2 linked regions of the Neurospora crassa OR74A genome follow. The protein of the gene in region 2 binds, or shares a complex with, the protein of the main gene of each other region. Links are inferred from orthologs where the notes say so. Each region holds a gene or a part of one and is shown on either strand. Other genes may lie near its edges.

Evidence for each region. The genes of interacting proteins can lie anywhere in the genome.
Region 1: NCU04155 (region 2) and NCU00812 share a complex: the UniProt entries of both Schizosaccharomyces pombe proteins name them as parts of the RNA exosome complex. The link is inferred for Neurospora crassa OR74A from reciprocal best matches to the Schizosaccharomyces pombe genes csl4 and rrp41.

What each region holds. Positions count from the first base shown.
Region 1 is NC_026501.1:7,076,183-7,082,879, reverse strand, and holds NCU00812 (exosome complex exonuclease RRP41), read left to right. Parts: upstream 1-2,956; 5' UTR 2,957-3,563; coding exon 3,564-3,871; intron 3,872-3,980; coding exon 3,981-4,494; 3' UTR 4,495-4,794; downstream 4,795-6,697. Other genes in the region: NCU00811 (hypothetical protein), read right to left, coding at 1-587; NCU00813 (disulfide isomerase), read right to left, coding at 4,795-6,159, 6,237-6,386. UniProt on the Schizosaccharomyces pombe protein: Non-catalytic component of the RNA exosome complex which has 3'->5' exoribonuclease activity and participates in a multitude of cellular RNA processing and degradation events.
Region 2 is NC_026505.1:5,017,698-5,023,819, forward strand, and holds NCU04155 (exosome component 1), read right to left. Parts: upstream 3,064-6,122; 5' UTR 2,759-3,063; coding exon 2,285-2,758; intron 2,211-2,284; coding exon 2,040-2,210; 3' UTR 1,409-2,039; downstream 1-1,408. Other genes in the region: NCU04154 (hypothetical protein), read right to left, coding at 1-778; C-8 sterol isomerase erg-1, read left to right, coding at 3,504-3,936, 4,024-4,361. UniProt on the Schizosaccharomyces pombe protein: Non-catalytic component of the RNA exosome complex which has 3'->5' exoribonuclease activity and participates in a multitude of cellular RNA processing and degradation events.

The DNA of each region.
Region 1 (6,697 bases), on a different chromosome or scaffold from region 2:
ACACCCTGGGTGTTGGCGGCGGCGACGACGAGCTGGGTCTCGCCAGGCTGGAGGGTGAAGACGAGCTGCTTGTTGGTAGCGACCTTGAACATGCCGTTGAGGCCGTGGTTGGAACCCATCTTGTTGCCGCAAACAACCTGGTAGGGCACGTCGGCAACGTTGGTGTAGTACATGCGGTTGTGGTACTTGTCGGCGATGTTCTTGGGGACGGTCATCAAGTTGGAGTTCCACTCGCAGCCGTCAGCGTCGCCGGTGTTGCCAGTGTACATGATCTGAGCGTAGGTGACGCGCTTGGTGTTCTTGTTCTCGCCGCAGAAGGGAATGTACTCGTCATCGGAAGAAGAGTCGTCCCCGGTCGCAGCAGCCGCAGAGGACTGGGCAGGCTCAGGAACGGTGGTGCTGGAAGGAACGGCGACGGAGGAGGAGGAGGGGGTGGCGGCAGGGATGGGGATGGGGAAGTGCTTTTCGGCCTTGTAGAACTTGAGGTCGCGCTGCTGGTGGGCGGCGCGGTGGAGGTGGGCGTGGCCAGAAGGCATGGCCGAGGCGCCGAGGACGCCGGCAAGGACGAGGAGGCTGGTGATCTGCATCTTGTCGGTTTGGATAAATGTTTGTCTAGTTGGAATGGATAGATGGCGCAAAGGATGCTGGGTATATGTCTAGTCTATAGTAGTCGATTGAGATGGGGTGGCCGACGTGGTCTATGTTGTGCAATCAATCCAAGGAGTGTTGGTGTAGCGTGGGACCGCGGTCCAAAGGAATGGCTGCGAGATGGGGATATCTGCGCAAGAGTTGTAGAAAAGAGTGTGGTGAAGCGCAACAAAGGAGGCGTTGTGCGTCGTTGTGGTGTGTTGGATGGAGGAGGAATGAAAATCGCGAGGGAGAGGGAGGAGGGCGTCAAGTGGTTAAAAGAAACGAACGACAGAGCGACAGGAGCTGCCCCTGGTCCACGTTTGTGGTCCCACGGCGCCTGCAGGGGCACGCACACGCATGCGTTCAGGGACCGGCATGCCTTCCACACAGCGCAGTGCGACGTTGCCCGGGGCAGCGAAATGAGGGCCTGGCAGAAATGATCCCTGGCACCTGGAAGATTGGTCTGGACAGGTGAGCCGAGTGGGTCTTGCAGTCCCTGCCACTCGTCAGGGCGGTGATCGTCCCATCTCTCGTCCCTGAGTGGCCAGCAGCGACCCGCCGTCCACGACATCTGCTCAGGTACTTGATGCTTGTGATTGGCTGGCCCCTTTGCTATCCCCCGCCTACATAATTCGCCGGCAGTTCGGTGGAACAATGGAACCCTTCGACGACGCACAAAGGCGTAACGCTGACTTCCAGGTTTGTATTATGCAGCACCTTTGACCCACTGCAAGAATAGGTAGGTCACGTCCAGCTTGCCAAAGTCAAAGAAGCCATTGTTGTTTCGCTGACAATAGACTCGTCATCGTGACCCCATTCGTTGAGTTCCTTTCTCTTCGTTTTCACTCAAAGGGGCCCAAGACAGGACGCACGTGCATTGACTGGTGTTCTGGAGATTAGGTGAGCATGGGGGCGGGAAGGTTCCGTTGCTCTGGCGTCAAGGATAGCAGCGCTAGCCCTGTTTCTCGAAGCCTGGTCGCGGTCGGGTGGTCTGAAACGAGATGAACGGAAACGGGGGCAATGCCAACCAAAGAGCTTTGATCCCTAACACATGTCCGGATTAAGTGCCGCGAAATGTGTTAGCGAGCCCCCTTGGCTAATTCATGGTTCGTTCATCCACAGTTTGATTAAAAGTGTAATGCGAATTGGCGTTGGCGGGTCGTTCCTTGGTAGACTGGGCAACACAGCACTTCCCCATTGCCCCGTTTCTCCGTTCCATTGGACCCCGTGGGCTGGTCGGGCCACCAGCGCAGTAATTCTTCAATGAGTAAGCGCGCACCTCGAGGTTTTCACAGTGAAACGAGAAACAAACCGCGCCTGATGAAACTGTTTAGTTGACAAAGACATTGTGGTCACTGGATGACGACTTGCTCATGGTGGATCTCTGTTCAGTCATATCGATAGACTAGGCCAATTCGTGCTAGCCTGGGCCGGCTGTCTAGGGCTGCATCATGCGCCGACCGACGGCGCCTCCTAGTGTAGAGACTTGATGTTGAACAAGTCTCCCCAAAAACACCAAACGGAATCCTCTTGAACCTTGATCGATTCGCACCCCAGATAGGGAGCTCCAGGAGCATTGGCGAGCGTTCCAGACTTCTAGAACCGGATCACTCTTGGGTCCGAGATGATAGAAGATGACGACGCGCTCAACCGAGGCTTCCAAGAATACAAACCAATTGACATTTCGAACACCCAGCGCATCGCGGTACCCATGAGATGATCTTGGTGGCCGTTGTCCCGTATTCACTTAGCGAAGGGGGGAATGGAGGAATGCCGGTTTCCTCCTTGCTGTTGACAAGGGGTCACTGCCACTGCCACAGTGTGCCCCTGAGTAGAGGTAGCCTACCTACCTCTAGGTAGGCTACCTAGTAGTGATCACTCCTGAGTCCAGACTTCAGGCCCTCTCCTGCTCACAATGCACGATCAAGATCCCATCAACATTGCGCATTCGATTGATATCTTGCCATCAACTCACTGTACCGCTATGAGCTGGAGAGGTCAAATGGGGGCTGTCAAGATCACGTGGAGAGTAGATGGACGGGAACCTTCAATTCCATGTTCCGGGGCCATCACGTCCCGTCCTCTGTCTGCAGCTGCAAACAACTTGCCTACAAGTAGTGTAGAGGTATGCACAGACCACTTGCATGCATTTTCAGCTCCTGATGGAAGCGAAGCAGAACTTAAGCAGAAGCCCTGCGGATGGAACTCCCGTCCTGCCGAGTGAGGTGAGCGGTGGAGCCCGGCACGGCGACCCCGCGAACGTGAGACGCAGCGGATCTTGCCCCGCCCCGCCCAGCTAAACTTTTCCTGTCTTGCCATTGGAAACTTTCGGCCTGGCCCAACCACGTCCGTTTATTCCTAGCAAAAGGCGATTTCAAAGTCAACAACCGTCCACCAGAACCTGCTGTCGATTATTCAGACTGGTCGACCGGAAGCTCCGAATTCCCACTTTGCGCGATAACTTAGTCACTGAAACTGGGGCCCCGACACTTCCGCATTACGCAAGCCTTTCTCTCCTCCGACTCAACGTACCGAGAGCTTGCGCGTCGCTCGCGGCACGATATCGCATCGAATAATCTGTCCCATCGAGCCGAAACTGTACGCACTAACCACGATCTCCCAGATCGAGCTTGGCCGACCCGACTCGAAGAACGACTAGGGTACAACTACAAGCACAACCTGAGCTTGGTGGACACTAAGCAGGGGAAGCAAGAGCAAAAAATCTCGACTCAGGTCCGGCTCCCCAGACAGGCCCTCAGGGCGTTTGTTGTTGTTGATCCTTACTGGATACCGTACCCCAATCTCGACCTTTGGTGTACTCGCTACCTGCCCGGTAGAGAGATTAGCCCGAACCACGATACCCAGAGGAGTAGAGTGAAACGCTAGAACAACAGAACATAGAAAGAAACACCTGTCCACCCAGCTACACCGCTATGCCTCTCGATACTTCAGCATATAGCCTCGCGCTGTTGCGCGTCGACGGCCGCAGGTGGAACGAGCTGCGTCGCATCCATGCCCAGATCCGCACCCAGGCCGCCGCCGATGGCTCCAGTTACCTCGAGATGGGCCACACCAAGGTCATGTGTGTCGTTAACGGACCCAGCGAGCCCGGTCCTCGGAGGGGAGCCACGTCGGGCGGTGGTGGTGGCGGTGGTCAGTCCAAGAACGCCGAGGTTGCTGTAAACATTGTCATTGCCGGGTTTAGCTCGGTTGACCGTAAGCGAAGGGGGAGAGGTGATAAGTAAGTCAAAACACCCAGGGGTTGTTTCCCCCCCAGTGTCAACTACGGCTATTCGTCTGTCACTGTTCGCATAACTAACCCGTCATCCTTCCTTCTTCCATCATCACAGGCACATCCTCGAACTCCAATCGACGATATCTCAAGCCCTCGCTGCCAGCTTACACACCCACCTCTTCCCGCACTCCACCATCAACATCTCCCTGCACGTGCTCTCGCAAGACGGCTCTTTGCTGGCCGCCCTCATCAATGCCGCCACGCTCGCCTGCGTCGACGCCGGCATTCCCATGACAGACTACGTCGCGGCCTGCACGGCCGGCTCGACGTCTACATACGCGGCTAACGACGAGGGCGCCGACCCGCTGCTGGACATGAACCACCAGGAGGAGCAGGAGCTGCCCGGCCTGACGGTGGCCACATTGGGCGACAGCGACCGCGTGGCGGTGCTGGTCTGCGAGAGCAGAGTGCAGGTGAGTCGCCTGGAGGGCATGTTGGCCGTGGGCGTGGACGGGTGTAAGCAGGTGAGGGAGATCTTGGACAGGGTAGTGAGAGAGAAGGGGATAAAGATGATACAGGAGGGCACGGTCGAGAGAGGGGTTGGGTTGAATGACATGGAACTGGATTGAATGGACACTACTGAATCAATGGTTGGGCTCCGGGTCACAGAATCGGATATGGTACGGTAGGTAGCATTACAAAGGCTTGGAGCAAAAAAGAATAGGCAACATGACGAATTTGACGAATTTCACGACTATCAATGTAATCAAAAGTACAGCTCTTGGTCAGGTGAGCAACATGTCGTTTCTGTTAAACGTGCGCCAACTTTTGAAAGCGTTCTCCGAAACTGAAAGGTACCAAAAAACCTTCAACTTTTGACCAGCCATTCACTGACACAAGTCACAGCAAACTACGCTTTCACCAATCTCTCACAGCTCATCGTGACCACTGGCCGTCTTCGACTGGGCCTCAGGCGTCTCCCCCTCCTTTGAAGCAGCCTTCTCAGCCTTACCAGACTCTTTCTTTTCCTTCTTCTTCTCCTCCTCCTCCGTCGAAGAAGCCTCAACAACAATACCCTCCGGCAGCTTTTTCTTGGTGCCCTCGCTCAACCTAATCGCATCAATCCACGCCTCCACCTTGTCATGATCCGAGAAATCATCTCCCTCACCAACAGCGTCGTAGCGTCTCCACCATCCGCGACGGGCGTTGATGACGATGAGTTCAATGTCAGCATCCTCCTTGAGGCCAAGGGATTTGAGAAGGGACGCGCCGGCGGGGTTGGTGTCGAGGGGCACCTCGTAAAAGGGGAAGAGCTTGTGTTGGCCGAGGGCATATTTGAATTTTATTTCGGCGAGGTGGGTGAGGGCCTTTTGGGCTTTTTCGTTGGAAGAGGATACCAGCGCGAGAAGGCAGGTGCTGGATTTGGACGTGAGGCATTCCTTGACGAGCTTTTCGGGGGTGTTGAGGGAGGGGATGGGGAGGGCGGTGTGGATTATTACGGGAATCTCTTGGGTTGGGGCAGGGGTTTCGGAGGACGTTTCAGAGGAGGTTTCGGAGGAGGCGACCTTCTTGGAGTCTTGCTTTCCGTTTTTTTCACCACCGTTGGCCTTGCCGTTGGCCTTACCATTAGCCTTGCCATTAGCCTTGCCATTAGTCTTGCCATTAGTCTTGCCATTAGTCTTGCCGTTGGCCGGTGCTGGGTCCGGATTAGGCTGGGCCGCCTGGGAAAGGAACTCCACCATGGCGGCCTTGTTGATCTCGCCGTCGTACACAATACCAGGGGCATCACCGCCAGGCAACAAGATCAGAGTAGGGAGTTTGTCGACACCGAATGTGGATACCGCCTTGGACTGAGTGTTTCGCACCTGACCGACGGGCATGACACCGAGGAATTCAATGGCGACGCTCTTCAGCAAGGGGGAGGTGGTACCCTTGTCGGTGAAGAGGAGCGCTTTGGCTGTCTCGTTCTTGTCACTCAGGAACTTGTCGAGGTTCTTGTCCTCGACTTTCACGACGTGATTGTTGATGCGCGAGACCACAGCATCGACAATTGCGCTGGCGGTGCGCTGGCCTTGGTAGTCCTCCACTATGGGCTTGCCGTTCTTAGAAGGACGGATGATCTTCAAGGTCGGGAAGCCCTGCACGCCCATGCTGCCGCAAAAGGGCTTGTTGGCGTCCTCATCGCAGTTGACGGCGGCGACCTTGGCCAGGCCTTCGAGGTTCTTGGCAGCCTTTTCGTAGGCGGGCTTGAGGTTTTGGCAGTGGCCGCACCAGGGGGCGTAGAACTCAAGAATCTGCAAGGGAGAGAGGTCAGACACATACATGCATTATTACGATGGCTGATCTAAGATATAGTCGGTCTGGTACTTACAGACGTCTGGTTGCTCTTGGCAATCAATCTATCGTAATCCTTTCCGTCAACCTGCAAAACTGGGGACTTTTTGGTATAAAGGCCCGCCTGGGCTCCGGGGAGCGCAGACAGGATACCAACTGCCAGAGCACAGAGGGTGGAATGATGCATGGTACAGTCAGGAAGGCGACGCTTTTGTTTACTGGGTGACGGTGGTATGTATGTATGGGGGGATGATGATAGATGAGGTTTGTGGGGTTGGAGCTATAATGTCATGAATGTACAATAGCCGATACCAATACAAAGTGTAAGTGAGAACAAAGGAAGCTCTTCCGTATGGGCGTCCTAGGGATTCAGTCCCGTGTGAAAGATGGTGTCGTGTATTTGAAACCCAAGGAAGCAACAAACAGACACACCGATTGAGATGAAAGGAAAAGCTGTCATCTTCCCAGGTTCGGCAAAAGAACACATTTCAACTCAGA
Region 2 (6,122 bases):
CCGTGTGGAGGGATTTCTCTTGGGATAGGGCTGCCTGGAGGTCGGAGATCTCTTTTTGGTGCTGAAGGGACGGGGAGGTGGACTGGAACGGTTGTTGAAGGGGGCTGCTTAGAGTGAACGATTGCGAGAGGGTGGATTGGTGCGTTGGCATATGAGGAACAGGGCCGGTAGAAGATTGGGCGGATTTGAGGTTGGGCGTTGATTTGCGCGAGGTCAAGAAGGCGGAGAGACGGGAGGCGGCGCCGGTGGGCAGGAAGGAGGAGACGGAGCTGACGCTGCGAGGGGCGGCGGGGGAGGCGTTGGCTGTTGCAGTGGTGGAGGGGGTTGCGGATTGGGGAGGGGTGGCGAGGGCTGCATCGGCGTGTTGTTGCTGTTGTTGCGGTGATGATATTTGGGACGCAACTGGGGAGGACTGGGATTGTTGTTGTTGTTGTTGTTGTTGTTGTTGTTGTTGTTGTTGTTGTTGTTGTTGTTGTTGTTGTTGTTGTTGTTGCTGCTGCTGTTTGAGTTGCCCTCGTAGTTGGGCTATCTCGTCTTCGTAGTCGGCCCAACGATCGACGGCGGATGAAGCCTTTTCGTTGAGCAGGCGCACTTGGCTTTGAAGTTCTTGGATCTTGTTGTGGGCATCGAGAACGGCCGCCTGCATCTCCAAGAAGGGTTGGGTCCCCTCGAGATCGATACCGCATTGTGGGCAGCAAGGAGCGGTAGATAACGTTTGGGTGACCGGTTCGACGATGACGGGGGCGGCGGTCATCGTCATGGTGGCGGTGGTTGACATGGCTCACCAGGGCCCCGTTAGGACAGATGATATCGACAAGGAGAGTTCGCGCGTCTTGTCGGATTGGACGAAAATCAAAGATGATGGATTGAAGCGGTTCGTCTGATCTCGATATTTTCTTCTCGGGAACGAAGTGGACTCCTGCCAGGAACAAGAAAACTAGATGGAGACGCCGTTGCGGTGGGGATGGACTGGTTCCCGTTGAAACAGGGGCAGGGAGCTTGTTGTTTTCGTCTTAGACTTTGTTTTGTGTATCTGGGGGGCGCTGAGTGAGATCGCTAACCAACACGCCGCCAGAGCTCCCACTCTGCCTCCTCCTTTTTTGAAGAATGACAAAGCTGTAAAAGGGAGGACAAGAAATGGGTGGAATGAATGTGTCTAGGTACCTCTAGGCACGCAGGGTTTCGGTGACGTACGGGAATCTACCGCCCTCCCCCGTTCTACGCCCCCCCGCCGTTCCGATGATCTTCAGCGGTATGTAGGTACCGCATGCACGATGCAAGGCCCATGTGGGGGGTATACGAGACGCCAAGCCGCCCTTGAGCCGCCTTAAAGAAACAGCACTCGTTAACGTTTGGCCCAGGCGGCGGATGACGGCACAGACAACAGATGAGGTATGTACCTAGGTATGCAAGGGAATAGTAAGGTACGTATGAAGAAGGCTATTGGTATCTTCTATGCAGATTTTAAACGGGTATCCAGTTTCTTGATGCAATGACAGGCGTAGCCGTGTCTGGCGTCACTATATCTTTCCTCGACGTGACAAGATCATACTAACTCGCCATCGTCTTCGTTATCCCTGAAACAGGCGCTGTATCATGACTGTGTTGTTCCGCTGTGTCAAGAGTGAATCGTGACATGTACCCATCTCCATACTTCTCTGAGTGCGAGCCCTATCACCCAAGACCATGTTCTGCGCGGTCTAACTTGGCGTACCTGGAGTATCCGCCGGAAACTCTGGGGCCAGGACATCTCTGGGCTTGGATTTGTCGCTGGGATGCTTGCTTGTGATGCGAGTGGCCGACCGTGTCGATGATGGACCGGCGGACCGTGAGAGCTCGACATTCGACGTGCCGCCGCATTTGCAAGTCCCCAACCGGGTACTGATTGAGCACCTGCTTTCACTACTCGGCGAGCTCTCCGAGCAGATTAACGCCCGTATCGCCTTGATAACACGCTGTACCTCAAGCTAGTAACTCCGCTATGCATTGCTTTTCAAGCATCTTTTTCATGTCTCATTTCGAAACTCCATCCGCCGACTTCAGTAGGGCTTCGCAACCTTTCTGGGTTCGCTTAGCCCCGTCTCAGGGTCCTTGTATTCCTTCCAGTTGACGGGGTACATGGTGTTACCGGCCTCGCTTGTCGCCATGATGACACCGAGCTCGTTACGCGCTGTCGACAGGTAGTAGCTGGCTTGGTCACCAAGAGAAATCTAGTGGGTGGCAGCACGTTAGCGGAAGTGTTCAGTCCATGTCTGGCAGAAAGGGAGAGGAGAAGAGCACTCACCACCTCGGCCCTGACAATATCTCCAGGCCTGAAGCTGTCGTAGATCTTTACCCTGTCCTTCTCTGTTGCTCTCACGTCCTGCACTCTGATCAGGCCCTGCCACTCGGCCTCCAAAACAGTATCGCCGCAAATTAGAATGGCCACAACGGCTTGGCGCGGCATGATGCGAATCACCCGGCATAGCACGATGTTGCCCACTTCAGGAAGCACCTCGCGCTTGTCTGACGAACCCGCTGAACGCAATACCGAGATGGTCGGTAGCTCGGCGGGCGTGGTCTGGGTGTTGATGATCTTGTTCAAGCGCTTAGCAGGGCCAGGCGCCTTGGCGGGCTGTGTGATGTTGACGACGCCGAGCAGCGAAGAGTAGAGGTTCGACTCGTGGATATGGGTTCCAGGACCGGGTTGGAACTTGGAGACAGGGCCTAGGAATTGGCCGGGGATGGCCATCGAAGGGGAAGAGGATGTGCTCGCCATTGTGTCGGTCGTTCTAGGTTGATGGAGCTATCGATGACAAAAGTTTGCGAATGGGTAAAAGTGGTATAGTATGAGACGCGGTGCGACGCGCAGAGGGAAACTAAACAAAAAAAAGATAACGATGCGACAAAACGGACCCCGCGGCGATAACAACTGAGATTGGAGCTTCTGGTACGTGGAGGTAAATGTCCATTCGATGGAATATTGAAATGTGATTGACCGGGCCCGCGGACGGGACTCAATGACGGAGGGGCACCGAAAAAATAGAAACCCCTGTCAGTGCCAAGAGCGCTGTTAGTGCCGCGCTGAGTGCTTTGCACCGACAGTGCTGCCGGGCAACTTGAGCTGCCCTGCCGGCGAGGGGAGCTTTACGGAGCTTCTGGATGCACTCCAGCCTGCCGGTGTGTCTGCCTCCAATTGGTCGTAGCGGTGGCTCCTTCAAGAAATCGGTTTAACGCTATCCGCGCAATTGAGCGTCCTTATTGGTCAAAGCTCTCAAAATCGAACGTGTCGGAAGTCGCAACACCCGCCTGGGCGGGCATGTTGCAACCACAAGGGTCCTCCACAAGGAAATCAGGGGTTGCCGTGGGTAGGTTTGTTGAGGTTGGGCTGACGGACCCCCCTGTCGGTGGTGGAATCTCTGTGGCCATTGTTTTGCTTCTTTATAATTCAAGATTCCCGTCTTCTCTCTCCCCTGTTTCTCCTCCTCGACATTGTGCCGTCTCGTCAATCACAAACCGTCACAATGCCTCCCAAGAAGCAGTCCTCCTCCGGCGGCAACAAGCCGTCCGGCTCTGGCTCTAGCTCCGGCCGCTCTTCCTCCGGTTCGTCTTGCCGCTGCAGCTGCCGCTGCCGCTGCAGTATCGGTGGCTGGCTCAAGTTCTTCGCCATCTTGTTCGCCCTAGTTGCGCCTATCGCCTACGTCCTGGAGCAGCGTCTCGAGTCCTTCTACGTCTTCGATACTGAGCACCTTCACGATCTGTCCAAGCGCGCCATCAGCGCCCACGGCAACGACACCAAGGCTATTGTCAAGTACATTGTCGACGAGCTGAACGACCGCAACGGCGTTGCGCCCTACGTCAACAACGATGAGGAGTGGGTGTTCAACAACGCTGGTGGTGCCATGGGTGCTATGTACATCATCCACGCCTCCATCACCGAGTACCTGATTATCTTTGGTAAGCCCCATCCTCCAGCACGCGTTTCGCAAGCTTGTGCTTCCCGCTTCTTCAGACCCATCACTAACAGCACACTCCACACAACAGGCACTGCCATCGGTACTGAGGGTCACACCGGCCGCCACACCGCCGACGACTACTTCCACATCCTCACCGGCACTCAGACTGCCTACGTCCCCGGCGAGTACGAGCCTGAGGTCTACCCTCCCGGTTCCGTTCACCACCTCGTCCGCGGTACCGTCAAGCAGTACAGGATGCCCGAGAGCTGCTTCGCGCTCGAGTATGCGCGCGGCTGGATCCCTCCCATGCTGTTCTTCGGTTATGCCGATACCCTCAGCAGCACGCTCGATTTCCCTACCCTCTGGCGCACCTCCGTCATCACCGGCCGCGAGATGATTAGCAACTTGCTCAAGGGCAAGTTCTAAGCATTGTGCTTTACGAACTGTCCCCTTCGCGAAGGGTGTTTTGCTTACGAAGGTTTTGGAAACCATGGGATAGAATATAGAGTAGAGATAAGGCTTCTCGGCACAAGCGGCGTCTACGCTAGACCGGAGTTTGGGTTAGATCAAGATATATCCATACCTATATTCACAATCTACGGTAACGTAGTCAAAACATTACTACAAAGATACTCTCTTTTGGAAATGTTCGTCGCCTCTGTTTGCACATTCGCTGGTGAGTCCTTGCCCTGAGGTAGTTGTCACAAACCTTCGTAGAGAATGCACGGGTTGGCTTTATTATACCTGTGTTCTGGTTTAGTACAGCTGACCCGCTCGCTTCCAGACAGACTTCTGTATTGGTGCTTTGTCTTCTCTTCTCTTCACTTCTCTCTTCACTTCTCTCTTCACTCCTCTCTTCACTCCTCTCTTCACTTCTCTCTTCGGCAAAGTGCTCATGTCCGTGCCCATGTTTTCTACATATCTATACATCACTAGGTAACCCCTGAACCGCCGTCGCGCAAACATCACGATTCCTAACATCCATGTGTACACTCCCTCGGCATTTCTCAGCACGCCTATCTCCTGCTCTAGACTTCATGCCACCAAGTAGTCTATTCCCCCCTTCCTACGATGACAGCTGGCTATACCTCGGTTTACTGTTATCCTCATTTTACTTCGGCCAAAGTAGCCAGTCCATCACCACGCCACTGCGCCGCGAGACGGGACGGCGAAACGACAAGCTGGACGAAGATGAATGGTTTTACGAACAAATGACGATTCGATTTATTCCAATTTCATCAACTTTTCTTTTGGGGAAAGCATACAAGCACTGAGGGTTACGTTTTCCATGGACAACGCCTTTAGAGTCTGGCATGTTGCCCACTGTGATCTCTTCTTCTCCTGAAGGAAGGTATGCTACATAAATAAGGCAAAATGGGTGAACACGAGTGTGACTAGATCACGATATCATTGGAGTGGGTGATTTCAGTATTGGTTTGTTTTTGAATGAGACTGAGGTAATTAATTCAAAGAAAGAAATATTGGATTTTCCAAAATAACATATCGTAATACTTAACAGCATTGCTCGTGCCATGATGCTCTCATGATGGGAGTGTTGTTGCTGGACAAGAGAGATGTAGTTACGATCGTCAGTCTGGGTCTCTGTCGATAACCAGACTGTGTTTAGTGTTGGACAGAGGTTGAACACAGCTTTGAGACCAGCTTAGAGTCTTCCAAACCTTCAACGTGGCTTTCATGAGACGTTCAGGAATATAAAATTGCGAGAATACTATTAAGCGCCTGACGTTATCTTCGCCATGTTGTCACTGTAGATTGTACTTCGTTCAGCTTAGTACTACCGAGTTGTCGTAGTTTGACTATGGAGACTCAGGATCAGCACTCGGCCACAGTTCATCTCATCTTTATTTAAAGACGTCATGGATGGCACATAAAATTTCCTCATGACCAAAAGTTGCCTATGACTGTGCGTAAAGCCGTCAGGCCTTATTCTCAAGTTTTGAGATTACGAACAGCGAGATAGAGAGAGGCCTTTGGCGAGGAGTATTATCTCGACCGGGCGGCAGGCAGTTTATCAATGACTTCCTGGGTAGCGGTACCGGCCAACAAGGCTGATCGACATTGTCAACAGGAAACCCAGACCCATCTGCGTCCCCGCCTGTCATCGCCATTTTCCTCATCATCGGTTTCTCGTAATGGTGGCTTTCAACTTCGATATCGTGCGGTTGG